Daphnia pulex: one gene and its partners. The protein of the gene in region 2 interacts with the protein of the main gene of each other region in a pairwise test. Links are inferred from orthologs where the notes say so. Each region holds a gene or a part of one and is shown on either strand. Other genes may lie near its edges. The genes, in order: transcriptional adapter 2-beta-like, histone acetyltransferase KAT2A-like and transcriptional adapter 2-alpha-like.

Evidence for each region.
Region 1: the proteins of histone acetyltransferase KAT2A-like (region 2) and transcriptional adapter 2-beta-like interact in a two-hybrid assay, tested with the Drosophila melanogaster proteins (4 studies listed by BioGRID). The link is inferred for Daphnia pulex from reciprocal best matches to the Drosophila melanogaster genes Gcn5 and Ada2b.
Region 3: the proteins of histone acetyltransferase KAT2A-like (region 2) and transcriptional adapter 2-alpha-like interact in a two-hybrid assay, tested with the Drosophila melanogaster proteins (2 studies listed by BioGRID). The link is inferred for Daphnia pulex from reciprocal best matches to the Drosophila melanogaster genes Gcn5 and Ada2a.

Annotation. Positions count from the first base shown.
Region 1 is NC_060026.1:11,477,290-11,487,450, reverse strand, and holds transcriptional adapter 2-beta-like, read right to left. Parts: upstream 5,190-10,161; 5' UTR 5,116-5,189; coding exon 5,109-5,115; intron 5,036-5,108; coding exon 4,938-5,035; intron 4,794-4,937; coding exon 4,734-4,793; intron 4,676-4,733; coding exon 4,519-4,675; intron 4,456-4,518; coding exon 4,217-4,455; intron 4,151-4,216; coding exon 3,909-4,150; intron 3,842-3,908; coding exon 3,610-3,841; intron 3,370-3,609; coding exon 3,314-3,369; intron 3,133-3,313; coding exon 2,889-3,132; intron 2,818-2,888; coding exon 2,755-2,817; intron 2,691-2,754; coding exon 2,589-2,690; 3' UTR 2,527-2,588; downstream 1-2,526. Other genes in the region: eukaryotic translation initiation factor 3 subunit F-like, read left to right, coding at 5,415-5,523, 5,696-5,984, 6,052-6,143, 6,202-6,452, 6,516-6,599; cyclin-dependent kinase 1-like, read right to left, coding at 6,883-7,135, 7,204-7,367, 7,430-7,585, 7,646-7,941, 8,007-8,055; GATA zinc finger domain-containing protein 1-like, read right to left, coding at 9,176-9,339, 9,395-9,644, 9,729-10,148. UniProt on the Drosophila melanogaster protein: Component of several Gcn5-containing histone acetyltransferase complexes that regulate nucleosome organization; involved in acetylation of histone H3, particularly on Lys-10 (H3K9ac) and Lys-15 (H3K14ac).
Region 2 is NC_060028.1:7,762,787-7,772,943, forward strand, and holds histone acetyltransferase KAT2A-like, read right to left. Parts: upstream 4,889-10,157; 5' UTR 4,701-4,888; coding exon 4,536-4,700; intron 4,421-4,535; coding exon 4,142-4,420; intron 4,061-4,141; coding exon 3,923-4,060; intron 3,868-3,922; coding exon 3,734-3,867; intron 3,663-3,733; coding exon 3,370-3,662; intron 3,304-3,369; coding exon 3,213-3,303; intron 3,151-3,212; coding exon 3,006-3,150; intron 2,936-3,005; coding exon 2,730-2,935; intron 2,660-2,729; coding exon 2,439-2,659; intron 2,381-2,438; coding exon 2,220-2,380; intron 2,150-2,219; coding exon 1,928-2,149; intron 1,868-1,927; coding exon 1,777-1,867; intron 1,717-1,776; coding exon 1,523-1,716; 3' UTR 1,433-1,522; downstream 1-1,432. Other genes in the region: Golgi pH regulator-like, read left to right, coding at 1-129, 231-433, 495-597, 664-742, 816-1,067, 1,146-1,361; centromere protein S-like, read left to right, coding at 5,258-5,272, 5,330-5,487, 5,557-5,623, 5,685-5,831; thyroid receptor-interacting protein 6-like, read right to left, coding at 6,183-6,314, 6,379-6,499, 6,565-6,743, 6,828-6,997, 7,313-7,622, 9,162-9,782.
Region 3 is NC_060028.1:9,039,394-9,048,763, reverse strand, and holds the end of transcriptional adapter 2-alpha-like, read left to right. Parts: intron 1-4,256; exon of another isoform or gene 4,257-4,261; 5' UTR 4,262-4,391; coding exon 4,392-4,449; intron 4,450-4,623; coding exon 4,624-5,999; 3' UTR 6,000-6,102; downstream 6,103-9,370. UniProt on the Drosophila melanogaster protein: Component of the histone acetyltransferase (HAT) complex ATAC; predominantly involved in acetylation of histone H4, including at Lys-6 (H4K5ac) and Lys-13 (H4K12ac).

The DNA of each region.
Region 1 (10,161 bases), on a different chromosome or scaffold from region 2:
TTTTTTATAATTCTTTGATATGTTTGAGATATCACGATTTTCGTGATACCCCCATTTCGACACATTTTCCTACTACTACCCCCTATACCCCACACCCTATATTGTTAAGGACCTTCGTATATAAATATACCTCAGGGATAAATGACTTATCAAAGATGAATAAATCAATATTATTTTTTGTTATTTTCCCAATAACGGAACATTAAAAAAGGAATAAATCCCTTTTTTATGAAAAAGCTATAGTCTTTTACATTTAACATGCGTGTATCATGCATGCCAACCCGGGATGCTGACCATTAGACCACGATATAATAGGAAAGGTACACTCTCGGCTATCCCCAAGACCGGCGGGTGTTCAGTGAAGGGTCCCAAGATTCCCCGCCGAGTTCGCTAGTCTTTCAAGCTTATCGCCTCTCGGGGGTATAGTAAAAATAGGGGTTTTTCGTTCGTTATCTGTAAAATTACCAATCAATGTGTCCAGAAATTGATTTAGTTTAAGTTTTATGTGATTCCCTATCCTTAAATACCTAATTCATCTAGATTAGGCAATTTTTTATATGTTTATTTTGTGATTGAAATTCACAATTTTTTGAAATTTGCACCGAAAAATCAAATCAAATGTATTTTTTATTACATAATTTTGTTTATTCTATTTTATAATAAGATAGAAAAGCAAGCTTTTCAGCTCGCCGCGAAGGGATAGTCGTAAGCCGGTTGAAAACTGTCTTAAATGAAAAATTCAGGGCCTATTGTTAAGTCGAACTTTTTGCTAAATGCCTTCCTAATTTTTCCAAATTTTTATATAAATTCAATGTTTTTTCTATGAAATTTTGTGAAAAAAAATTCTATCGCGAAATTTTGATTTGTCTGAGTCATGGTTAACAAAGGGCATGGGTCAAAACAATATTTTTATTCAAAAAAAAAGTAAATCTATAATGAGACTTGAACCATGTCCATCTTCATTATCATGCCAGCGCTATAACCAAAAATCTATTTTTCGCATTTTAATTCCATCCATTACCAAATGAAATTGATTGTTGTGCTACAGTGTCGTGTCGTCCCTTCACTGAACACCCGCCGTTTCTTCCAAGAGACTGGGGTAGCGCGAAAGTGTACCTTTCCTATTATATCGTGATGGACTACTTTACTTAAGGACGGGACTCTTCGCCTATCTCGCCGTGTTAAAGCTAGTCGGGTCTCGGGTGGGTATTTTCATGAAAAAATAAATAAAAAATATCAAAAATATTCAGTTTTTTTCGCTGATTCTAACTGTTTAGATAAATCTAAGTAAAATTAACTAATCAATAAGATATTGTAATTTTACTTTCAGCAGTAAGGGTAAAAGTGGGAAACACCGGTGCCCTCTAGCAACAGCTCAAGCACCCTAAGGCGCTCTTGCCAATATAACCTACAAGGTAAAGGAGAGTTAGGCAGCTATGTCAGAGGAATAGAGATAAGAGAGTGGTCTCTCTTGCACGCAATGGGTACAACCTGGTCTCAGCTGGCGCGCCAGCACGCAACGTCAAATGGCGCTTGCTGGCGTGCCAGCACGCTACAACAAAGTAATCTACGGCATTCGCCAGTACGGTCCGACTTTTGCCATACCCCCACGGTGGCATCCAATGCGACTGCGGCGGTGGCTTCCCGACATTTATTTATTAGATTTTATTTACAATTCTTTCATTTAAACCTATTTTACAGCTATATTAAGTATAGTTTTTTTTATTTACGAAGTTATTTGTTCATTCCTGGGTATTATTAGAATAATGATTATTATTTTCAAAGAAACTGAGATTTCAGCTGGCGTGCCAGTGTGTTCCGCTTTTTGTTCAATGTGCTTTCTACGGCTGGTGGTGGCTTCCCGAAATTTATTTATTCTGATTTATTCACAATTAATTCATTTAAAGCTATTTTATAGCTATACAAGGTTAAGGTTTTTTAATTTGTGAAATTATTCATTCGTTCCCGGGTATTCTAAGAAGAATTTTTATTGTTTCAAAGAAACTGAGATTTAGCCTTTAGGTTGTACCGACATGCGTGAAAATAAAATTCTTTTGCAGTTAATTATACATGCGTATGTTCATAATAGACTTAATCTGATTTCAAATTTTGATTCAGAGTAAAAATTTGAGTCAGAGTTGTAATTTTCATTCATATTGGTGGTCAGCCGGATAGTAGCGTGCAAAGAATTGTAGATTTTAGCGATCTCCTTAGTGACTCACCTTCCCACTTCCCCTCACCCTTCTCCGACTAAGCCTCCCCAGTTCTACCTCTCTTAGACTCTGAATCTAAGACCGCGATCTAACATTGAGATTGAGTCCAGTCGAGTCCAGTAACCATACTGATAGGTGGCCGCCACCTCACGTTGCACTTTGTTCTTATTAAGATGAAAAAATCAGGTGATCTTTTATCTGATCAAACAAAAAAGGTTTATCATGCAAATTATATTAATATACTCAAAATTATTCGTAAAATTTAACTAATCTATCAAAACTAAAATGAAATGAATATTGGAAATTCGTTTAAAAAAAAACAGTTGAACTTTATTCAAAAAAGACACATATTTTTTCAACACAAAATTGCTGTTTTCACTCGACAGACAGAAAACCGGCTTTCGTAAAATAATTTACAATCATAGACTGCTCGTCAGCAGCCAGGCCGGGTAGGAGCGGAGTCTTGTCGGTCCCACTCTGAGAAAAAGATTTGTATTTTATTTCAAGTGAATAAATCAAGAGAGTGAATGATTCGACTTACCAATATGAGATTGGCCTTCAATGACGTATAGTACAATGGTCTCAAACGTAGATTTTGGCAAATCTGAGATTTAAAGGAAAACAATTATTGGATAAAACTTTAAAAATAATAATTATAATAATCGTTTCACTGACTTGCTTTTCAGCAGGACTGAGCAGTTCTGAACCGGGACATAAAGTGAGATCGTCGCTCTTGGCGAGGAAATTAGCAACTGCCTCCTGCCATTCTGACTGTGAAAGTCGGGTATTAGCGGAGAGTACGGGCCCGAGTCGAGGCAGACTGCTTGAAACGCTGAGGACGCTGCTGTTGTTGTTGCTGCCGAAGGAGGTGACTTTTGCGTCTCGAAAGCTTGAAAGTAGCACTTCTTCCCTTGCGTTGCTGCGAAAAAAAAAAAAAAAACAAAAAAAACAAGTTACATACATAAGCCACGAATTTACTTAACAATTCTAAGAACTAAGAAATATAGTTGAGATTTCGTAATATAATGCAAAGCTATCACAGGTAACTGATGAGTTAAACTGCACATAGTATGTAAAAAAGGGGAAATAATAAAGCTTACTCTGACTTGTGTAGTGTCCCAGGGTTTTGTACAATCGGCCCCGGTCCACTGCTTCCCTACGTTAAAGTCTATTGTTCAATTTCCAGTCTTTTTTGGGTTCTAATTTAACTAGCTTGTAAGATACTTAAAATAAAGACACATAAGTAAAAAAATAAAATCGAATATTCAACCAATGGACACCACCAATAATGATTCATTTCAACGAAGTATTAACAGGTAAATAAACCAGTCGCACACTCTTACTATCGCTTGACGAAACTATGCAAGCAATAGTACAGACTGGGAAAATTGCTTACGGATTTCCGGCGCTGGCGCTCCAACCGGGCTTCTTTCTTTCTTTCACGGAAGTATCGCAGTCGTTCATATTCAGTACATTCCTCATGTCGAGTTAATCCATTCCTACGGTATTTGATTAGTTCTCGAATCCGCAATCGCAAAGCTCTCTCTTTAGTTAGATTGCGTAAGAATTGCTCATGCTCAGGTGCCGTGTGGAATTGGGAAAACGAACGAAATTTTTCTTGCGTTTCTCTGTACAAGGAAAAAAATGTAACTGTTTGTAATGAATCTATAGTTAACTAATTGAAACATGAATTACTTTTCCTTTTGGGACTCCCTTTTTTTTGCGGCAGTCGTAGGTTTTTCCTTCTCTTTCTTGATAGCGTTAAAAAATTGGGATACCAGTTGAAAATCCCGAGCAACCCGCTTCCTTCGGGCTCTTTCCCTCAGGCGGCGAGTATACATATCGACTTGAGCCAGTTTTAGAGCCAAATCAATATCCTCGTCGTCATGATTAATGGCAAGATGAGAAACAATTGCCTCAGCTTCATTGTCATGTTCCTACAAAAAATAAAAATAATGTTGAAGTTTTTAAGACAATTTGTTTCATGACAAATTAAGACCCACCCTTTCAAAATCATCTCTTTGAGGCATGTATCCAAGTTCTAATGTTTCTTCAGGTTGAATAGCTAAAGGTGGTAGTCGTGATGTGATGGATGGAGATAGAGGTGCATTATCTGGACAAGTGTGATCAATTGCTGCCAAGCGAGACTCTCCACTTGCGAGAAGTCCATTTGGAAGCCCTTGCCATGTTAGTTTACCTATTGTTCCTGTGACAAATCTATCACAGTACTGTTCTTTGCATTCTGTAAAAAAAACATAATTGGAGAGTAACTGATGATAAAATCCTGATAAAAATCAACAATTACTTTCTGAATCCCGTGTTTCTACATGTTTCGCAACATCTTCCCAATTTCCATAACCAAACTGTTCTATTGCATCAAGTAACTGATAGTCTTCCCTTGCAATCCAGCCACCTTCATCCTCCCTTTGTTGGTCAGGAAAAATACTAAAAGTACCAGGATCCTAGAAATTAAAAATAAAGTATTTATTGAGAGTTTGATAGAAAAACTTAAATACTCACTATTAATCTATATCCATGACTACTTTTATGTGGTCCAATTTCACAGCCAAGAGAGAAACACTAGAAAGAAACATTGCAAAACTGTGTTATTAAAATAATTCAAATTCGCCGCCGACCAACCGGCAATACCACTCCGGTGGGCGTCATAACAAACAACAAAGAAGGAAGGGGAGGGATTCATTCAACGAAGATTTTATACCACACCTGTAAACAAAGTTCGTAATCGACACAAACGTTACATCGGATTCGAATGCCAAGGATGTCGTCCTGACAGTAGCCACATCGATGCTTCATAAATAAATCTGAGGAATGGATACAGAAAGAAAGATTTTCAATTTTCGAAAATAAGGATTCAACGAGAGCATTTTTTTTTACCCGCCATCTTTAGCCTTCCCTTCCCATCAAGAACAACTAAGCTATGCCAACGCTAGCGAAAGCATTGGTCGCGCCCTCTGGTGACTGAGAAGTGAGAAGTCTTTAAAAAATAATTAAAATGACGTGTAAAATTTATAAACAATGTACACCGTACATTTTATTAAATTAAATTTTTTTTAATGTATAACGAGACGTGTTTGGTAAATAGAAATAATTCAACGTATTATATATCACCAATTGGCAACTAGTTCGTGTCGGCTTTTTCAGCTCCAATGCGGTAGTGGTCTGCAAAAAAAGTCACGCAAAATGGCTCTCAATCTGACTGTCAAGTTGCATCCTGTTGTATTATTTCAGATTATTGACTCTTATGAGCGTCGTAATCCTGATGCACAGAGAGTAATTGGAACGTTGCTTGGTAACATACAATTTAGATCATCCGTTTGCTTTCGCGTTTTATTGTTTTTTCGACTGTTGACACGTGTATCGGTATCGAGTACCTGACAAAATCTTTGGATTATATACCTAAATTCCTATAATATGCGAAATCGAAGTTGTGATAACTCATTTTTCATATTGATTTTTTCCAGGCACATCAGATAAAAATGGTGTGGAAGTGACCAATTGCTTTTGTGTGCCTCACAATGAATCAGAAGAAGAAGTGGCTGTGGAATTGGACTTTGCCAAGGATATGTATGACTTGCATCGTAAAGTTAATCCCCAAGAAAGCATTGTAGGTTGGTGGGCAACTGGTACTGGAGTCACATCTCACTCTGCTCTTATTCATGAGTACTACTCCAGAGAGTCCTCCAATCCTGTTCACATTACAGTGGACACCACATTGCAAGATACCCGTATGGGAATCAAAGCTTATGTCAGGTACATGCTATTAATTCAGTATGATACAATTGCTTTGAAAAATAATTATCTTTAAATTATCATCTAGTGTCCCAATGGGTATCACAGGCAAAACTATGGGATGCATGTTTGCTCCTGTTTCTGTTGAGATAGCATGCTATGACCCAGAAACTATTGGATGTAATTATAATAGAAAATGTGTATGTATACTGGGAATTAATCTTTGATTGTTTTTCAGTAAATGCCTGCCAGAAAACCAAAACCTCGGTTAAACGTCAAGCGGGCATCGCTTCGGATCTTACTCAGATTGTTGAAGCCTCGCAGCAGATGGAAAACATGCTGGACACTATCTTGGCTTATGTTGACGACGTAATGAGTGGCTCCAAAACGGCTGACAACACGTTTGGTCGTTCTCTATTAGATATGGTTCATTCGGTACCTAAAATGACACCCGACGAATTTGAAGAGATGCTTAATTCAAACCGAAAGGTAGAAAACATTACCCAATATTTACTTATTTAATCTAATTTTTGTAAAACTTTATTAATTTAGGATTTATTGATGGTATTATATCTATCACAACTTACCAAGACTCAACTGTCGCTGAACGAAAAACTCACATTGTTGACAATTTAATTCAGAACGTTGATATAAAAAATAAAAATGAACATCTCCCAATTAAATTACAATTTTCTGATGTAGTCCTCGTGAGCATATTTATTAGGAAACTATAGTATACAGTCACACGTACACAAGGGGGAAGAAAATTTCTTCGCTACCAAGGAAAAGAATCACACCCATCTTCTCTCAGAGAGCAAAAAAAATGATGATTAGGAAAAGCGAAAAACAGAATTTCAAGAAACGACCATCAGGAAGTTGGCCAGGTTTAGTAGCTATCGTTTACATGAGGAATGCTTAATTAAGCAGGCACATTGGTGGGTAAGATAGATTTATCCAGATCGGTAAACCAAGCATGATCTAAAGCATCCTGAGCCGTGATACGAAGGGCTGGATCGTAAATGAGAGTTTTTTGAAGCAGATCAAATCCAATCGAGTCAAGTTGCTTCACGGAATTTTGAAGGTGGTAAGTATTCCAATTAGGGAAAGTAGGTTTATAGTCGGGCATTTTTGAAACGCCTGGCCACATTTCCTCCGTGGGCGTCTTCATTACTCTGTGTTTCAAATAAAATAGGAACAAATGTAATTTTAAAAATAAAAAAAAAAGGACAAGTAACACTACCGGAAAATACGGTAAAGCTGATCAATTTCCGAATCTCCTTGGAACAATGGCTTTTTCGTTATCATTTCAGCCATAATACAGCCAACCGACCACACGTCTATGGGGCACGAATATCTTGATGACCCAAGCAATACTTCAGGAGCACGGTACCATAGAGTAACAACCTTCGTGAGTTCAAAAGAATTTATAGTATACGTCCATGCATTGGGAACCTTCTTTCCTTTACCTCGTGAGTGTAGACACGAACGGGAACTCCAAATACGCGCCCAAGACCGAAATCAGCTATCTTAATAATTCCGTTTTTATCGATGAGTAAGTTCTGGGGCTTCAAATCTCTATGCAAAACTCGACGTCTATGACAATATAAAATGCCTTCCAAAATCTAGAGGGAAAATATAAATCAGGCCAATATATAAATGAGTCCTAAATCTTCTAAGCAAACCTGGTGGCAATAAGACTTAACAAGAGTTTTATCCATCAACTGCCCAGTTGGAATGCTGTCCATGTACTTTTTAAGGTCCATTGACAGGAACTCAAAAATTAAATACAGCTTTCCTTCTTGCATCAAAACATCCTCCAGACAGACGATATTGGGATGTAGCAGCTCTTTCAAAAGTGATATCTCCCTGATGGCTGTCGAAGGAACACCATCATCTTCATTTTCAAGCCTGATTTTCTTCATGGCAACAAATTGTTGAGTCTTACGGTTTTTAGCCTTGTAGACAACACCATAAGTACCTTTGCGAAACAAAAGTTTTAAAATCAGTTCAAGTTACACAGCTTAGTGTACCAGGGATCATTACCTTCACCGATCTTTTCTATTTTGGTAAAGTCTTCCATTGCAGAAGGCATCACTATTGTTTGTTAAGAAACAAGAACAAAAACCAAAAAGTGTGAAGAATTGAAATCTCGGGAAAGTAACGGAAATTTGAAGTCGAATGGCAGCAAACAAAAACTGGAGTGACGTATTCTTCGTATTCCACCTGCAAATCAGATTGTCATCAATTGATTCGTAAGACTCTTGCATAAAATATTTCGTTACACGATAAACAGAGAATAATCTAACAAAGTAAAGAAAGTTCGTACCCAACGTGTTTCCACAGACTCGACTTTAAAGGAAAAGGTGAGCACACTTGGATGTCAAAGAGACGGTGGCGGCCGTTGGACTAAGGAATGTAACCGCCAAATTTTGAAACGACTTCATCACTTCACAGAATCACGGCCCTCTATGGGTGATAATCAGAAACCCATTGGACAAAATGGATGTATTTGACGAACCTACTATACGATTTCGAATTTGTTATAGTTCTTTTAAACTTTTTTAAGGTTTTGAATTAAAACTCAAATTAAAATAACAAATTCCCGCTGGTGATTTCAAGTTATAATTGTCTATTAGTTCGAATGACGCTAGTATTATGAATGAATAAAAACCCATACAACTTATACAAGTTTGAAAAACTCATTAACATTATCGATATTATTTTTAAATATCATTATATTTTAAATGAACTGTTTATTACCACTATAATCGAAACATTTTTACCGGTAGACTAGAAAATATTTCAGCTCAAAATTTCAGCACAAAATAATTTCTAAAAACATTGTTACCCGCAAGGCAAGCCGTAATGCAGGAATGGTCAAGTATTATTTTTAAGAAAGCCGTGCAAGCAGGTAAAAAAATCTTCTATAATTTCCGACATGTAATTTTCGAAAATATCTTACTAAAATTGTGAAAACTCTTAAAAATTTAGAAAAGAACACTTAAAACAGATCAAACAATTTAATTTACTCTTCCTCCGAATTTCAGTGAGGTAGCAGAACATGTGACAAATATTTTTAGTTACAAACTTCAGAAATGATGGAATTGTTTTACAAACGAATCTGTAATGGCATTAAAAGACACAAAGAACAAAAGAGCCGGCTGCCTTGGTCTTTCTATTCTACTATAAACGGATGATCCTGGTGGAATTTTTCATGAATGAATAGTTCTTCGTACGGCACCCATACTTGTCCAAATATAGCCAGCTTCTTTTTCACTAGACACTCGAACATTTTCATCCAGTTTGTAATATTCGTTCGGCGCATGCATTACGAAATCAAGATAATCCAGCTTACGTGGCAATTCTTCTTCAGGACCTAAACCAAGACTGTTTTAATGCTGTACAGAAAAAAAAATATAAAATTCACATACCTAAAATATATGTCTGTGGATCAAATCCCACATCTGGGGGTGGTGAACTTTGAGTTGGGATGAGCCAAGTTAATACAGCACTTTTTTCACAAAATTGGTCTTGCAGAAGCCCACGAATTTGTGCATAATAAACTCCATCATCTTCATCTGTGACTGAAACTATGTCCCCCACTTGATAATAAATGTCATGATGAAACAAATGCCCACTAGTAAAAGAGGTAGAAGCAACAGTGGGGGCTTTAGATGGTAGCTAAAATTTAAAAAGGAATAATTTATAAAAAGTTATTGGAAAAATCTATTTAATTTTTCTATCAAATTTATGGATTTGTTTAACCTGTTTCTTGAAAACAGCTCTTCTTCCACGTCCTTTGCCAACTGTTGCTTTATTGGCAGTTCCTAGTTTCTTGCTTCTTCCACGTGTCTTTTTTGTTCCTGTGCGTCCACCTCTACTGTTTGAAGTTGTGTTTCCTGACCTGGTCCCTGGGCCAAATTCATTACGTGGCTTTATATCATCCACAAGTTCATCCACAACAACATCATCCACTTCAATAGTTTCATTATAAGCATCTTCTTCTTGAAATTTTATTTCTGGTGAAGGCGCCTTTTCTATAACAATAGATTCTGTTTTCACGGTTGTTGTCAATTTCCCTTGAAAGCATTCGCTGCAAACTGTATTTCCTTCGTTGTTTTTTTGCCATATCTCTGATATATTGATATCGCATTTAAAACAAACAGGTTTTATTCCAAATGGCATGGTTAAGGTTAAT
Region 2 (10,157 bases):
GAGTCTCCGTTTGCTCTCAATGGAACAAGGCATCTCTCGCATAGGTATTATTGGTGTCACAGTAATGGCCCTTCTTTCTGGCTTTGGTGCTGTGAATTATCCATACACTTCCATGGCAGTATTTATGAGGTAAACTTTATCAAACATATGCTTCTCTAGGCTAATCTCCCACTGTAGTGAAAATGCTGTCCTATTATATAATCTAATTTCAACATAATTATTTATTATAGACCAGTTACTCACACTGACATTCAGATAGTGGAAAGGAAACTGATGCAAACTATGGACATGATCGTTGTTAAGAAAAAGCGAATCGCTCTCATGGAAAGAGACTCCCGAAGTCAAAAGAATAGAAACACTAAAGAGACCAGCACTCTCGGAGTTTGGTCTATGTTGAAAAGTGTAGCTTCTGTTCGAGTCAGTAGTTCCGAAAGTAAGATTTTGGGATTCAAGAAGAAGAGCTATTTTAATTAAACTTCTAAATTTATTACTAGATTTATCGTCTTTAAAATCTGAAGTTTTAGCTCTAGAAGAGCTTAGTCGTCAACTTTTTGTAGAAGCTGTTGATCTTCATACAATGGAAGACAGGCTAGAGTGGTAAAACATTAGGTTTTGTGTGATATTTCTAAAGGTGCAATCCTCATTTTCTCTTTATTATTTCAGGTCTACAACATGGCAAGGAAAGTACTTTAACTTCCTTGGTTATTTTTTCTCAATATACTGCATGTGGAAGATTTTTATTGTAAGTATTGCCCTATCAAATTTTAATGACAGAATTTTAAGAAATCTTGTATAATCTCGTTTTTAATTAACAGAGTACTATTAACATTGTGTTTGATCGAGTTGGTCGAGTAGATCCAGTGACGCGCGGTCTTGAGATTGCCGTACATTGGGTTGGATTGTCGATCGACTTTAACTTTTGGTCTCAACATGTTTCTTTTTTGTTGGTCGGATGCATTGTCGTTACTTCTATTAGGGGGTTACTTTTAACCCTAACCAAATTTTTCTACGCAATCTCAAGCAGCAAGTCATCCAACGTCATTGTTTTACTTCTCGCCCAAATTATGGTAACTATATTACTTTATATGTTAGTTTTTCTGTAATTGAAATGATCAAAGTTTTCTTGCTTTTTGTCAATTTTTAAGGGAATGTATTTCGTATCATCTGTTTTACTAATGCGCATGAACATGCCTGCCGAGTATCGTACCATCATCACTCAAGTGCTTGGAGATCTGCAGTTTTCTTTCTATCATCGATGGTTTGACGTTATCTTTCTTGTCAGTGCTCTGTCATCTATTGCTTTTCTTTATCTCGCTCACAAACAAGCTCCCTCAGCAGACAGTAAACTGAATAACTATTAATTCAATTCTTGAAATGAAAACTAAGCCAAACAGGTGATGCAATGAAAATTTTTCTCAGCTTGTTTCTCATATTGCTTGATATTTATTTTATTTGTCGTCGATTGAGTGCATGTAATATAAATACTTGTGTCAACATTTAACTTCTTATTCGAACGTCAGCTTCATTTATCCCAAAGCCCAGCATCTTTCATTTTCGCTATATAGTATTTTTCGAGTGCGTTGGCGCACTTGCAATATTCCGTGTCAGCCTCATTATAGTGGCGACAATTGGAAAACATGCGTGAAATGTCCGCCATGAAGAGCTTCCGATGGATGTAGTAACGATTTTTTAATCGATCCCCCATGGTCTTCAAATCTACAATGAAACTAAATTAACATCGGAACGTTAATCAATTGAACACAATTGTAAACTTACCCATCGGAAATTTGATGTGGTCGTAATAATCTGGTACTTCCGCTCGATCAACAGGTTTCAAGAAGGGCCAGGAAGAGGCATGACTTCTCACCTATATAGAAAAATGGAATAACATGTTTTCTTCTTTTCATAAAAATTAAAGCAACCAAACCTGATTGAGAACCGAACGTAAAGCTTGATATAATTGCTCTGCATCAAAAGTCTCTTCGATTAGACGCTTAGATCCGTAGCCATTGGATGGTCGCCAGCCCGTCAATTTCAGTCCGGGAATACTGTCAATAGGAATCTCTCGAACACCATCTTTAAAGCAATTGAGACCTGGATGAACTTGGCTAATTTCTTGCTGCTTCATTTCAATTAGATGTTTGACAATCTAAAAATTAAAAAAAAAAAAAACAATTAAGAAAGGAACAATAATGTTGGATATTAAATCTGGGTAAGACCTCTTTCTGCTTTCGAATGATTGCGGTAAACTCTGTGTAAATAATACGGGGATTTAACTCGCATCCCATTAGAGTTGCTCCTTCGTAGTCCTTGATGTAACCGTTATAAACGGACTTTGGAAGCTTTATTTCTTTACTAAACCCTTGTTTCTTGAAATAACCTGCACATCACACTGCATTAGGAAAATTATTTGAAAATAAAAAATTTTGTTTGCTCACCAATGGCGTATTCGTCGGCAAAGGTAAGAAAGTGAAGTACATTGTGTTTGATATGGTAATCCTTAATGTGATTCATCAAGTGAGTTCCGTACCCTTTAACCTGCTCTGAGGAGGTAACGGCACAGAATACGATCTCGGTGAAACCTTGGATGGGGAACATTCGAAAACAGATACCACCGATTGGTCGACCATCTTTGATCAACGCCAAAGTCCGATGCTTGCTACACGTAAATTGGATAACATTTGTAACTTTGGTGATTTAAAGTATAAGAGACAAAATTTAGGACTCACCAATCGAAAACCAACCGTGTGATGTATTCTTTCGGCATTCGTGGTAATTGATGCGAAAAAACATTTTGTAACCCAACCAACCATGACATGGTTTGTTTGGATACGGTCTGAGTAAGAGAATTTCCCACTACGTGAAAGGATATCAAACCACGACGTTCTTCCTGTTTTGCCGCTTCGTCTCTTGGTGCATTTTCTGGGAAGACGCTCTGGAAAACCAAAATAAAGCTCTGTTTAGAAGAGCTTAATTCTTTACACGTAAGAAATTTGTTGGCTTACTTCGGGACCAAGCATCTTTTTGGGGTCATTAATTACGGCAAGAATTGTGGCGACAGTTTCTTCAGATATGTCATGATCCAAACGTACCCTTTTCGCATCACCTTCCACACTAGGTTCGCTGTCAACTTGCCGCTTTAACAAGTTCCTAATTAAAATTGAAAATTATTTCCATGTAGACATAGGGTGGACATGAAGTTTCGACATTACTTTTCTACATCTTTGGAAATTGATCTGACAATCCCGCTGTTTGTCAAACGATGGAAGGTTGCTTCGTTGCTGGACTGGGTTACATTTTCCTCTAATATCAAGAATTATCAAGAATTAGATTAAACATTAATAAGTTGGAAAGCAATGAAATAAATACCTTTGATGTTCTCCTGTTGATTTGGGAGTCGATGAACATACGACGGATCCCACACAGGCGATGCATCATTTCCTAGTTCCATTTCCATGTCTGCCAAGAACTTCGGAAAATTATTTATGATCATATCCCGTCGTTCGGGTGGCAGTCGGTCTTTCTCGGCTAAGAAACGATCCATGAGCTGTCGCTGCACGGTGGAATAGACCAGTCGAAGAAAGGACCGACCAAAAATAGCACTAGTTTCATATTGCGGTAGGGAGTCGCAATAGCTCGGAACATTGCAATAGCATAACCACCTGCCAGAGTGTAATATTTTTAAGTTAAAAATAAAATTTCAAAAGCTAATTTAAACTGAAAATAGGTTTACCTCGTGTAACTAATTCGATACACGGAGAGGTCAGCTTGTGGATAATGTTGTTTCCACTGAGTAGGGGTTTCCAATTTCCAGTGATTTAAACAGTGGATAAACATTTTGGCAAGATCACACATTTTTTGAAACTCCTATGAACACAATAAATTTAATTTAATGTTTTAAAGGATAACTTTGATTTCTTACCTTGGGGATTTGTTGACTGTATTTGAACATGACAAAATTAGTAACACCCTTGCTAATACTTAGTTTTTCAAAGGGTGGAGAGCCTAAAGGCCCTTCTACAACTGGTTTTGTCATCTGCATTATACATTTCCTCAAGAGCTATATTCCAAAAAAATAAGAAAATTTAAGAAAACATTTTTATAATACTTGTTTCACTAAAATGATTTCAAATGTTATTACTTTAAAAAGGCAAAAGTAGACTTGTTTGTTGTCTGGATCTTCTTCCTTGTTAACACAGACAAATAAATTTTCTATGTCCACTACCAGACTTAAAAGTTGGTTTAGTTCTTCATTACTGGAATTTATCAAGTGAGATACATGATCTGAAAGGTTATGTGAACAACTGCGGCATGGATCAGTTAAATTTGCTGATGGAAGAACCACATTTATTCCTGTATTGTTGACATTTGGTGGTGTAGTAGGATTTTTCCATCCATTGCATTTGCAATTTTCATCAAACTGAAAAAATAATTATGGAGAAATGTCTCAGTTAAGTGGTTCTTCATTATAAAAATAAAAATAATCTTAAGAAATAAAGCATGTTCATTATAGAACATTGAAAATGAAAACCCACCTTGCAACTTGAATAAACAGCTAGCTTTTCCAATTTCTTAGGATGTGGCCATTCACGAACCTGCTGCTTCCGCAGTTGAATTTTTTGAATGTTGTTCATACGATTCGTACCAACGCCAGCAGCTGAGTTGTTATTTGCCGCAACTGGGTTAGAAGTGTCAGTCATATTGGAAATGTTTTTATTCTTGAAATTCACGGGAAACCAAAATCTGATATCCTTTCTTGTAGTTGTACATCACTTTTAGTGAACGTCATAAATATACTAACTGAACTCAGAAGTACGCAATTAGGGGAATTACGGGGATTTCTAGCAGAAATCCAGGCGCGTCGCGAAAATTTTTGTTTACCCCCGGTGGCGCAAGATTGCCACATTTACCTTTATCCTTATGTTTTTGGGAACGGAAAAACGAAACATAAAAATTAATTTTATGAAGAAAAGATTTTTTAAAATTTAAACTTGACATAAGACAGCAAGTGAGAAACTAAAAAACTGTCGAAAAAAACAAGTGAAGAAAATCGCCTTTTAAAATACGATTTGAAAAAATCCGACACTGATGTTTGACTCCAACTTCACTTAACAACAAGTCAACAACATAAGAAATTATGAATTTACGTCTGAAGATTTAAAAAATTTACCCTGTTTACGAAATCTGTTTCTTGAAGGACTAAACTTCAGGTGTACTTTCCTGTGTAATTGTATGGGGGAATAACCTGGATGTAAATATGGATCACGAAGAAGTAAGCAAATCTATTAGCAGACCATGAATCGCACATAATTTTCGTTTTTACTTACAGCGGCTGAAAGCGTCATTGCATTTTACCGTGGGTAAAATGTGTGAAGAACAGGAAGCTAGAACTCACATTAGTTTTGACAAGCATGTGATAGCAACAATAAATGAAATTGTCTGGCAAAAGATCAAGCTGGTTACACAAGATTTGGAAGCTTTTGCCAAGTATTAATTTTCTTGATCGCTTATGTTAAAATAAGATGTATGCATTGTTATTTACATTTGTTTATTGAGGCATGGAAAGCGCACAACAATCAATGGAGATGATGTGAAGCTGCTGGTTCGAAGGAATGAAGATTTAGTAAGTATTCAAGTAAAAACATTGTGAGAAGCCAATTGAGTCCATTGAAAAATTATTACAGAAAGCCATAGTAGAAACACTAGGATCAACCAACTCAGAGGATAATGCAAAAATAGACAAGGGGAAAGCATTGGTGAAGAAGAAGAAAATCGAGACTGTTCCACCAGAAGTGACTCTGGACACAGATGATGATGACATGTTCACATGACTATGATCTAAGCTGTATTGTTCTACATCAGGGAAGACAGTCGTTTTGTGCGTTTGGGAGGATTATGTGGTATGCGGAACATCAAAAATAATTAAAATAAACGACGCTTCTAAATCGCCGCAAATAGAAACACCGAATACATATTAAGAGGCGTAGAAATTCCAACCGATTATTATTTTTTTTATGGCTACCAAATAAATGGTCGAATGTCGTTTAATTGTGTCCTGTCGTCAGGCACTCGTCATTTAATACAGAGTTACATAGCGGAAATATATTTTTTTAAAAGTCACCGACACATTTTCCTTGTTTAGTTTCCCTTCCATTTGTCTTCTAAAACGTGAAATATTTTCTTTAAAGCTCGGTCGAAGTGGTGGAAGTCAACGCATTGACTCTTATGGCATTGCAGGATTTACACAGGACACGCCCATCCAACGGGTAACAACCGCGCCCTTCAGCTTCCGACGATAGAACTAAATCGCAGTCCTAATATCCCAAAAAACCATGTTAGGATGTTGACAATTAGAAAAGTAAATATATGCCAAGTTACCTCGCATTTGTAACATTGTACGTGAAAGCTCCGATCCAGAGCGACAACACGAACAGTTTCTTCCTGTCCAGGCTCTGGCATGATGGGATCGTGACAAACAGAGCAGCGCGGAGCGAATTTCCTAAAACCAAATATTATAGTATTTTTAACGAAGGTTCGTCAAGAAACAAGAAATAACAATCGTACTTGTGGAAATCGTCAATGCAGTGAATCCGGTTGGCGGCATCAACCGTGAAAGGAATGCCGTCCAAACAGAGTAGACAAACAATGCAGGTGAAACACTGGGGATGGTAAGGTTTTCCTGTGGCACGTAAGATGCGGTCGAGGATCGGCTCGGAGCAAACACAGCATTTCTCTAGGCTATTCTATTTGTCCGTCAGAAAAGGGAGTCAAGGGTTAGAAACTGACACCATTTCAAATCTGTTTTTTTTCTTTTCCTTTTAATTTACCATGTAACATTCTTGACAATGGGGTTCGCCATCGACCGCATAGAACGGCTTTCCTTGCAGACGGCAATTGCAGACACGACAGGTAAAACAGGCTATGTGGAACACACGGTCCATGGCCGTGCAACCAGAGCCTTCACCCACGACCTTCAAACCGCAATCGGCACACATTCCTGCGCACGACGTTCAGAAGAAAAGCAGCGTGAGTGTGTGTGTGTGTGTGTGTGTTGTGTATAAACAGCAAAGGCCAGGCCGGGCATAAAGCCGAAAGAGGAAAAAATAAATATATCAACGTCCTTGACGGATATTTATGCTCCCAATAGGTTCTTTCTCTCTTGCCTTTTTGCCCAAATCAACAAGATCGTCTCTCTTTCTTTTTTAGAAAATGGCAAAAGCACCAATCAAAGTGGAGGAGAGCCACTTGTGAACCAAGATGTTGAAATTTCAATCGTACGCACTTCACTTTAGAGCTAGACGAATTTACTAACCAAAGAACTCTGGGTCGGCGGCATTATCCATAGACTGGACGAGCAAATTGGTGAGCGCATCCACTTCTTCCTCTTGAACTGGCGAAGTGGCTCCCTTGGCGTGACTGGCTTGGGGTTTCAGGGTAGCCGCAGATCCACCGGCCGCAGATCCGCCACCGTAGGTGGTACTGCTACTGCTACCGCCGTAAGGCGGATAGGCAGACGTCGTGTAGTGCGACGGGCGAGTCAAGCTCGACATGCTGCCAGCGGGACTGTGTTGATGATGAGGTCGTGGTTGAATCGGCTCGTACAGCGACTCGTAGTTGGACGCCTATATACCCCATCACCAAATAGATTCAAAACAATAAAACATTAGCACCCTACAGTTTGAAATCATCCTGGAACAACACGAGTGATACCAACAGGCGTGGAAACAACAGGCACAGGTGTTTTGATATCCGAATCGTTGGGGGGGAATCAACTGGAACAAATTGGAGGGTGACTGAATGAGATAAGGAGCGAGGAGCCGTTTCTAGCAACAAGTAGTCTGAAATCCGCGTGCCAAACCACTGAGCCAAAAAGGTGACACGCTCACGAGAGAGGGAGCTTTGACGTAATCAAGTGCGGGAAACATGCAAGCAGCGCACGGATCTTGGCTCGTCGTTACTACGGGAAAAACCTCTAGATGCGCCCAACTCCTCCTCTCTTTCTGTCCCTCCCACCACCACCTCAACGCGGCACGCAGAGCTCCAACTTTCGCTGCCATATAAGTCGCGCTGAGCCCAGTCTCTCTCCCCCCCCCCCTTCTTTCTTAATACTCGTTTTCTTTTTGTGTGTGCATTCGGACTATGGGCCCATTCCTTGATGGGAGGTGAGATAGAGAGAATTCACAAACTGACTATTCACGCTACCATTCGAGGCAACCATTTTCGGGACATAGTCCAAGAGCAACACACTCAATAGCTGTGGCTCAAGGAACAAGCTAGAAATCCGTCATCGGGCAAATTTGAAAAGAATAACTCGTAAAAAAGAAAAAATCCCAGATATAAAGCATTAAAAAGAAAAAGAAAAACCTTTCCAATAAGAGAAGAAACAAATATTCATTCCGTCAGTTCAGTTTCTACCTGGCCAGTATTTACCTTCGTAAAAAGGCGGAGGTCGGAAAACATGAAGCCAAAAAGCAGTTTGCCCACCCGCTGTCCCAGAACTTTTTTTTCAAAAAGCAACTCCCGTTTTTGACCGCCTAAATTATTTATAGCTCAAGCTGCTGCTGGTTTGCTGAAGCGAGCGATTTATATGAAACGTCGGTTGGCGCGGCCAACTGTCAACACACTCGATGTTGTTTCTTTTTCAATCGTCTTCAGAGATGCAAACGTTGATCAGTTGAGGAGCCTTCATTTTTATTTGGGTTAATCAGGTCACAGATTTACTACTCGAGCTAAATGACGCAATCCATCCGCACGAAACACCATGAATCACCTTCGACCAAGTGTGGTGCGAATCAAGCCAAACTTTTGGCAGTCATGAGCCAAAAACGCTCCGCCTCTAGAGTGAAAAATTTAGCATTTCTTTTTAGATTGAGGAAAATAAGAAAAATATGAAGGAAGATAAACAACAACCATCACTCCGTATAAACCAAGGTCGGCCAGTGAGAGAGAGAAAAAAGCGAAAACACTCTAGCGACCTTGACGGCAACTCGTTATTCCGATCGGTTAGGCGAGTCTGTCCACCGCTATTTAAGGCAACAACGTGAGGCCAAGGGAAGTGAGTTGGGGAAACATTTCAGTGTTAATTTGTTATCAGAGATTACGAGAATACAAAAGAGTTGTATACATCAGTGAATGCGTGACTAAGAGAGAAGATACTGGACCTGCGATAAAGGAGCGTAGTTGCTGGTTGATCCTGTTGTCGATCCGCAACCAGCCCTCCGCAACTCGGAATAGCTCGAGCTAACCGGAGACGGAGGTGACGTCACTTCCTCAGTGGAAGACGGCGTGGGGAATAGATGCAGATGGTCACTGTTGCTGCCGTAGTAGCCCGACAGATCCGAGGGCAGCGGTGGCGGAGGCAGAGGCAAATCTACGTCGTTGTCACAGGAAGCGAAGGCGGGAGGTGGGGGTGGTGGAGGCAGGTAGGGTGGTGATCCTAGTTGATGAATGTTGCCGTAGATGGGTTCTTCATTCTGTACTAGGTATGGCTCCACATTTTCATAGTTACTGGATGAGCTGACACTCGTCAACAAACTGCCATCAGCATTGTGTGTTTTCAGAACAGTGCTGAATGATGGTTCTAGACAACTAGAAATATTTGAGCTCTTGGGGACAATAGGGACCTGGGGTTGAGCCTTGTACTGAGGTTTAGGTGCTACTGAAGGACCAAACTTCCTCAAGCTGTCCGGTGACATTTCATAACTCATTTGACTGGATCTTTCTACATCACCAGAAGAGATACCTAACCGGGAAAACTTCTTCTCGATTGGAATGCTAGCCATTAAAAAACTAATTCAAACAGATTCCTGAGTATATATATAGACAAGGATTAATGTCAACACAAAACGTACGACCAGTCTTCCGACAGGATTCTTTCAACTTTCAAGGAATGGAATTGTTCAATGGGAAATTGGAATGTAAATTGGGCGACTTACGAAAACGCCCATCAAATCTATCTTAACGGATGAAAAAAATTATCAATAACACCAATTGTATATCACCATAAAAAAACGTCTATTCTATTCTAAGAACTGCTGTCAAAATCCAGAAACCACCTAGCGGCCAACATTAGCACTTGGTTGTATTTGATTTTGCCCAATCCACTGGTTCACGATTTTGACATTTTGTTGACATGAATGTAGCTCTTATTATTTTTT
Region 3 (9,370 bases), about 1.3 Mb from region 2:
CAGTTTGTTTTTACGTTGCAGCTGCTGGCAAACTGCTCGCAGATCACGTCACTTTTTTTATTTTGTCAAATTTTTCCAACCGGTTTTCCATTTAGACTCTTCAAGGCAATCCGCTTCGTAAATGCAATAAGAAGGAAAACGAATAGGAAGATATGCAAGGTCGGCAATTTGTTGATTTTTCTTATTATCGCTCAATTGGGAATTTCCGGGAAAAAAACAGTTGTGATGTGCAACACACAATGAAAAGTTGTTGGTTCAAATCGTAATTCAAGGTGACAACACGAGCGCAATGAAATGTGATTTCCAAACCAATTGCGGTGCCGTGAATATTCCACGAAATACTTTTCTGGCTAATTCGACAATCAGACTCAAATGTATACGTATTATAAGGACGATTATGCGGAGGAGGAGGAGGTGATTGGACGCCATGGCTTTTATTTTATTTTATATTTTTTTCTATTCTGTCCCTTTTCCCTTTGTTAAATAAATATTTTCTCCGAAACGGCGACTCCACCCCATTCGTCGAATATCAAATCAAGAAATGATTTCTTTTTTTTTTTGTTTTTAATTTTCTACCGGCTATCAGGACGCAATTAATAAATTCAACGGAATCAATCCAGTTGGGAAGCCAAATTGTCTTGAGAATTTGGCGTTTCTTTCGTTCCTGGAAAATATAAATAAAAATAAATTCAAACCGATCACATAATCGATCATAATGGCGAACAAATGTTTTTGCGGAGCTGAGATATGAGGTCAGACGAAAAACATGTCAACTTGAAACGTCTGCCGCCATTTTACGACCACCTCCTCCTCCTGTAATAGTTATTGAGATCAATCGACCCCGCCAGCAATGAGCTGTAAATAATGGGGCGTCCATTCACTTTGGCTGCGGTCAGAGAAGCAGCAGCACACTGGCGTGTGTTATGTCACCCCTTTTTCTTTTCGTGTGTGTGTTCCCCCCACCTTGGGTGCATCTCCCAATAGGGGAGCGGCGGTCTCTCTAAATCAAATGAGGAGGATATCAAGGAGGAGGAGGGATAAAAACGATTAAGATGGATCGGCGTCGTTTTTCGGCGACGCTTTACGACACTTTGGCTCTCACGCCTTCTCTCTATACCTTCATATACTATTAAATGTCTATTATAGACGTGACGTGCGGGAGCGATGCAAGTGAATAAGGTTCTTATATCTTCTCCGGGTTGTTATGGGTGGGAACGACGCCATTTTTTTGACGGCCGGAATTCTTCCCTTTTATTTGACGTAACATATTTCTCAGTCGCATCGTAGAAATGGCCGCGCTCAAAGTTTTCTTGTTGGTCAACAAATGGATTGGGTCGTTAGATGTATGGAGGCGGAGCGATCGATCGATCGATGGGAGAAAGTGAACCAGAAATGAATATTCTCCGGAAGAAGAAGAAGACGAACTGATTGGGTGTGTGTATCCATCCGGCGGATCAAAGCCGAGTGTATAGAGAGCAACAGTCTTTCATCAGCCGGAGGCCATGCACCCGCATGTGATACTCAGTAGGCCGGCGGCTCTCTCCATTGTTGAGCTTGTTTTCCCAGCTGATTGAAACCGGCTGTTTTTTGCACAGGGTTAGACACATGTGTACATTCAACTTGGCCTTTAGTTGCGTCTATAGCGCACTCCTTCATTTCTCAATTTTCATCTCCTTTTGGCTCACAGGCCAGCAGCAGTTCTCCACTGTATAATATCGATGCTGCTGCTGCTGTTACCGCCCAGCACCCGCGACCAATCAATACTACTAGACGGCAGTTTCAGCGTGTATGTGTGTGTCTATATATACGGACGGCTCGGGTTTTTTTTTTTCACGCAAGGGGAGTCTATATAGCCAATATATACTATCTGGCACGCGGGTTGGAAGGGCTTTATTCCGAACGAGTGGCCTGCTGGCGTTGAACGCGAACGTGAGCGAGTAAATAATAAACTCGCGCCCGAATCTCTTCTCCTATTGCTTGTTATTGTGCTGTGTGTGTGTGTGTATACCTGCGTCTCGCCCGCAAGTGTGTGATGGCACCTCCGTCGGTGTGTTACATCCGATTGCACGAGATTACGAAAAAAAAATAAAAGGAAATTCCAAACCCAATGATAATATCAATAATAAAAGCAGTCTCAGGCATTTGAGCGGGATGACGTCAACGCTGCTCTCTATCTGTTTGAAAACACGCCAATCAGAGTCGCCGGGCGTCGTTCGGGAAAAAGAAGTTTCAAGGAAGAGATAGAGCAGGAGGAGATGTGTGTGTGTGTGTATGTTCGGGTTGAAGGAAACTTCCGTTGTCAGCTTACTATTACGTACATGAAGATTCTTTTGACTTTTGCTCCTCCCATCTGCAATGGATGGATTCATTGATCCGGCCAGTAGAAAAAGTAGGTGAACTTGTTACTCGCAGAATTTTCCAATAACAACCGAATAGGCAACTAAAGTTATGTCAATTATTTCTCGTGTAATATCTTTGACCGATTTCTCTTGATTTCCGACTCGGAAAGACATAACAAAACTTGGGTCTCGGGGCTTATAAGGCACGTTCTCTTTTTTTTTTCCTTCCGCTTTGGCTCCGCGGTGGGTTTTATTGTCGGAGAAGAAGACCCTGCTGGATGCTGAGCCCCAATATATTATTATTATTATTATTATTACGATGGGGAGGAGGGGCGAATAATCCGTACAAAATAGTTGCCATTATTATGGCCGACTGCTGTTGCGGAAGACGGAAGAACGGAGAGATTAAGCCGCCAAGCGGAATTCTTTGATTGTTATTATTAAAACGCTTGTCGATCGGTTTGGCTCACGGCAAAGTGGGCGGGGTCCTTCAATTAATGAATTTATTTTCGATCGCTTTCTTTTATATTGTCCTAAATTGGGAAACATTTAAAATGTAAAAATCGATGGATTGGGATTTTTTTATTGTTCCCCAAATTCTCACGTGAGGCGGATGAAAATGGCGTCGCGAATGGAGCTCCATTAGCTTTTTCTATTGGATAATCATCTAGAACGAGGAGCTGGGGTTTATATAGATGTTACTAATTAGTTCAGAAATGCACAGGATGTCCAGGCAGGATCGCTGGTAGCAGAGAGAGAATACCGAACTTTTGGCCAGCGCGAAATGCGGATTACCAGACACTCACAATCATCCTTTAATAACATAGAGATTACGTGATGGAAAAGAGGAGCTAGAGCAGAGGGACGAACGTGAACGAACGCCGCAAGGATTACAAGTTTAGGGTGGATGATTCCGCCACCACCACAGCAACCCCCTACCATCCGTTCTAATATATAGTCAGCCCAACAGGTGCCCCTCCCTTTATTTTGTGTGTGTGTGTTGAGGGGGTCTATACACACGGTAAATAGACGTACACTAGGTAAAACTTGTTCTGCCAGCTCCTCTTTGAGTGTAAAGTTTTCTCCGCAACCGGAAATGTTGCGCAAAGTGCATTTTTGGGGAGAGGGGGGGTCGGAGTGAAAGTTTATGCGGAAGGGCCTTTTCTTCTATTATAAAAGTATTCCGACTACAATAATCCTTCGTATTTTATTTCATCGTCGTTTGCTCCTTTTCTCTCCCTTAAGTTTTACTTCGACGTCTTTATGCAAGAATAATCCGGCAGTCTTCCTCATCTTCTTGAAAATAACTTGGAACGTAGTTCTCTCTGTCATTAATCATGTACGACGTATTACATTGTGTAATATAGGGAATTCTTCGTTGCCTACTCTAATCAATTAATAATCCTACTTTCTCCTTCATATTTCCTGTACGCCCATCTTTTTGCCCGGCATTTTTGTCTATTCCGCTCTTAATCAATTATTACGTTCCTGAGCCAACACTTATTGATGGCGGGAGTCGGTAGAAAACCTTTTAATTATGAACCATGCAGGCCCCCGTGTTCTTAAATATTCGTATATAATCATTCAGGCTGGCTGGTTGGTTGTGCTGCATCGCTCGCTGCCATCTGTTTTATTCATTTGGCTGGCATTAACCATTCCGATGATTCGCCGAGGTGGTGCCGTGCAGGACTGCCGGATGTTGGAGATTACGAAATCTCTAGCGCCTTGTTCGTGCTCAGACTTGTGTGCGGTTTTGAGCGAAAAAATTATGTTTTAAAAACAACTTCCTGGAAATGAAGAGAAATCCAACAAACGTGGACTAGGGCACTAGGCCACACTCTTTTGCACAATGATTTGTGTAACGTTTTTGGGACTCCAATTAGTATTAATTTATTCGTTTTGATTTTTGTCTGATAGTCTAGGTCAAATCCGGCTGGGAAAAACTGGTACAAAATTGCCAAATGAATATTTTTCGAAAAATGAAATTTTCAACGAAAATCACAACAGCAAGTCTGGCAACGTCGTTACACTTTACTCTAATATCATTTGAAAATGGCGGCCGCCACAGAGATCAGTGACGAAGATGCCGCTGTTTTGCAGTTCCCAAAAGGTAAAAAGAACTATAATTTCCTACCCAGTTTACGGTTTTGAGCTTCCCTGTGTTAGGCTTGATATGTTTTCATAAAGGGATTTACAGTTATTACAGTTAATTGCTGTTAGGCTAGACCTGGCTAAGAACTGCACGTTTCGTGAACGTTTAATTCATTTGCAACGAATTTCTTAGAAATGTCGACTGATGAACCATGTGGAAATGTGTGGCCGGCGACAGATTGTTCCCAGACTCGAGTGTGTTTCATTTGTCAGACCCCTCTGACTGGAGTTTACATCAGGTGCGAGGAGTGTGTCAGAGTGGACTTGTGCCCAACGTGCTTTGCCAAGGGAAAGGAAAGCAATCACCATTTGAACAATCACAGCTACAGGGTCATACGAGATGATTTCTACCTCTTTGACAACTGGACTGCTCGGGAAGAACTCACTTTGCTGGATCAGTTGTCTACGCATGGGCCATCAAATTGGACGGAGGTTGCCAAACGCTCCAAAGCCAGTCCTGAAGAATGTGCAAACCACTATAACAAGTGGTACCTTGAAGACCCAGTGGAACCTCTACCAAGACCGAAAAGTCCAGAGAGACTGTACAGGCCTCAGCCTATCGTCTACAGAACCGGAACTCACGACCCCCCTAGGCCTGTTCCTGGATCAGTTTACCACAGAGACATGGCCGGTTACTGTGCTGCTCGAGGAGATTTCCAAGTGGAAGCCTTCCAGAATGCAGAATTTGACGTGGCGTCGTTACAGGATGAAACGAAACCCGATCCCGACGAAGAAATCGACCAAGAGGCTTTAGAACTCGAACGTGCATTGGCCGTGGCCGTGGTGCAAGTGTACAACGACAAGTTGCGCGAGAGATTTCGAAAGAAACGTATCGTCCAGGAACACGGGTTGATCAATTTTCATCGTCATTTGGCGGCTCGTTATCGCTACGACTCTACGCTGACACATCGCATTTGTGAGCGTCTCTCGGTGTTTTCCCAGGTGTTCAAATTTCAAGACCACTGCAGTCTCTTTGAAGGCTTGCACGGACATGTCGAGTTGCGGCAGCGAATCCAGCAGCTGCAAAGGTACCGCCACTTGGGGATCAAGACTCTGGCGTCGGCCAAAATCTACACGCAGCTTCAGGCTCGTCGTGAGAAGCACATGAAGCAGTGGAAGCAGTTTTCGGCCAACCTTCACGTGGCGTTCCCCGTCCAGCAGCAGCACCAACAGTTGGTGACCTCAGCCCTGCTTCAAGGAAGCAACGGCAACGTTCTAGTCAGCCCGGCTGGCCCTTTCCCACAGCAGCGAAGGAGCGCACCGCCGCTGGACATTGTCGGTCTGCCCGGTTACGACAAATTGAACGAAGGCGAACGTCAGTTGTGCTCCGTTTCACGTCTCGTTCCCGAGTCGTACATGGAATTTCGAAACATTCTCATCGCCGAGTGCCGCAACCGCAAAGGCATTCGGCTGGCTCAGGCCAGGACGTTGATCAAGATTGATGTGAACAAGACGCGCAAGATCTTTGATTTCCTCCTAGAAGAGAAACTAATCTACTTCCCCGCTTGATTTATGGCACCACTTGTTATAATAATGTTTTGTACAGGGGGCAGAGAGACTGAGAGAGAGAGGGGAAGAGGAGATGAGCAATAAACTTGCGTTATACAGTCAAGCCTCATGTCGTTTTAGCGTGTTGAAATCATCTCGAATTACCTGTTATATATATATATATATAGATATATAGATGTGTGGGCTTGTAGTCATGGGAAGCTCATGCAGGTTTGTTTTCTTAGATCAGCAGGAAAAGAAAGAAAAAGAGTCGACAAACGAGTGGGCACTAGTTTAGTAGTTTGCACAGTGAACCATCCCTTAATGCGGTTTCATTCTTCTGTCTCCATTCCACATCATTACAGAGTTCGAGAATGCGGAAACATTGCTGATATCTGAAGTCCACATGTTGCTGGACCATCGTAAATTACAGAATGAAAGCGCAGAGGACGAGCAGGAACTGTCGGAAGTCTTTATGAAGACGCTTAATTACACTCAGCGCTTTAGCAAGTTCAAGAATCGTGAGACTATCGCCGCCATTCGCAGGTTGATGCTCTTGAAAGTTTGATTTGTTTGTTTGTTTTTTCCCGGAATGAATCAATGACTTCATTCCCAACTTTTTCCTTACTTTTGTTTTTTCTTTCTTTCTTCTTGAACTCCAGTTTGCTGATGCAGAAAAAATTGCACAAATTCGAACTGGCAGCTCTGGCTAATTTGTGCCCGGAAAGCCCTGAAGAGGCCAAATCTCTCATTCCCAGGTACATCCAACCGTCACTGATATCTTAATTGATTTTTATAACGAAAGACTTGTTTGATTTCCCGCAGTCTTGAAGGCCGATTTGAAGACGAAGAACTCCGACAGATTCTGGAAGATATTCAAACCAAGCGAAGCTTCCAATATTGAACACGGTCGACCAACCCATGTCAGGCAAATGCACTTGAAATTCCTCATATTTTATTCTTTTTTTTCTCCTTTGGTCACAATACAGATTTTCCTTTTCATCCTTTTTCGTGATTTTCCATCCCAGGGATGGGCGCAGTCGAGAGTGATGCACACACTTGTGCGGCAAAGCGTAGGACGAGAGAGCCTTTAGTTAACGATAGCGAGGCATTTGGGTTGGCCTTCACTTAAAAGCTCTTGATTGAATTTACTGGCGGATGCAGTTGCTGAGGTCCTATATTTTTCTTTGCTCCTTTGCCCTATACTATCTTGTATTCTTCGTGGATCTGGTTATTTATTAGACAGTCGGTTGCTATGCGACCACAGACTCCCAGCTAAATTATTAGGAAAATGTTGTTGGAGCCAAAAGCTGATCGATAATCGTCGTGGCTTATTTGAAAGATAAGAGAGAGAAGAAAAAAGTCTCGTGCACCATAAGATCATATTAAAAACCAGAAAAAAGAAAGAGACGAGGATCCACTTACACGTGGACCGTGTGTACACCAGGGTAATGAGATCGATTTCCACGGCAAAGGATTTTGATGGAAAAAAACTGCATTCGACTCTCTTGCCTTGTACTACCTTCCACCACGTTTTAATTAGATTTGATACCACGAGGTGTACGAGCTGCGCTCATCCTGGCGGTTCATCCACTCAGATGATTAGATACCTCAGAAGACGGAGAGAGAAAATCTGGTGACTTGGAATAAAGCCAACCTCCGTTGCCCGTGTCGGTTAGTGTCTGTTTTGATGTCAGATAATTTGTTAGTGTTGCCGAGCAAAGTTTGAGTCTTGAGATGCTAAGAATAAATGACAGATACGGACTGTAAACGACGTATACACGTAACTGTTAAAAGGAAAGTAAAAGAACTTTACTTTTCTTTCTCCGACTCGGACAAAATCTGGTCTGATGCCCTTACAATCAAGACTGTGCACACCGTCTCTCAAACATTGTCTGGTCTTATCGGAGACTAGAAAGAAACTTTAATAAAGAGTTTCTTCATGCAGAATGGAAAATTGGATCTCGACATCACAAGAGTTTCCCTTTTTTTTCATTTCCGATTCGTCTTCTCCTTTGGTATATACAAACAAGTAAACTTTATTGAACTGAAAGTCATTTTTTTCCCCATTTGAAACTAAATTTTTTATTCTTTCCAAGGCTTTTGATGGTGATTCATTCCGTCACCCTTTTATTATCGTCTAGCTGAATTACCGTCGAAAAAAAACCGAATGGCACATTTGATTGCCTGATGCTACCAATCGACCATATATTTGCGCTCCCAAATCGCTAAATGTGTCCTATTCATTGAAATTAATCGAGGTTCCTTTCTAGTGGCGCCGGCTTAGTCCTTGGTAAAAGTATCGACTTGGAAATGAAAAGTGCAATGCCGAATGCCATGGAAAGATTTATGGGCCACCTACTTAGATATCAGTCACGCTCGTATACGCTGCAATTTCCATCGTGATGGCACCGATGAGCTCTCGTTTATTTCCCAAATGCGTTCCTTTTCCCTAGACGACCCAGCATCAACGACACCAGTATATATACTGCACTTGTATTCACCGTAATTTATCATCCAGTTTGCCTTCCAATTATGTCGTTCTTCTCGTCTGTCTTTCAACTAGAGCTCTCAAGGTTTTTTTTTAATATATATAACTGAACCCATTAAATGGATGGAAGTAGTTGCTCATGGTCGCAATTTATATTCTTCTCGTGCAATAACCTGTAAAACCAGGTGAAACCTCATTGGAGACCAGCAGCATCGGCTGTATCAAAAGGCATTAAATATTTTCTACGTCTAATAGAATTCCGAAGAATTTTCCATTTGGATTTGTTAAATAACTTAAACCGAGAGGCGTGCGTCTTGAGCATAAGGAAATGTGTCACCAATTATTTATTTCTTATCACTGAAATATTTGGGGACCGTTGAATGACTCAATGAAAATAATGAGGAATTCTAGCAATAGCTAGAATTCATGCTTGGCTAATCACGTGATGAGTTAGATAAGTTATATAACAACGAAAAATTAGGCACTATAAGAAATGCCTCCCCGTTTATTTGTTACAGTGTTCTACGAAGCGAGTTATATAGAAGAATCATATTGATTTTCCGTTCTTCACATGAATACATCAGTCGTTTAAACGCAGTGATAAATAAAAAATCGATTCACAAGTCAACTTTCTATTTTAACGAAAAGTCGACTTAAACTATTTCTAGAACTCGAGAAACTGTAAGTTGGTTCGATTTATTTATTTTGTAATTCTCGAAAGTTATTGGGAAAGCCCCTAGACGTTTGTGTTTTCTAAGCTAATTTTGCTATTGTATTTTTGCTATCTAGTTGTTGTTGAAAACAACTTAACAACTTGAAGCTTCAAAGAACTTTAACTAGACCTACAGTACAGTTCATAGATTTAAATAGGAAAAAGCGTGAATATTAGGTTACCGCCAAG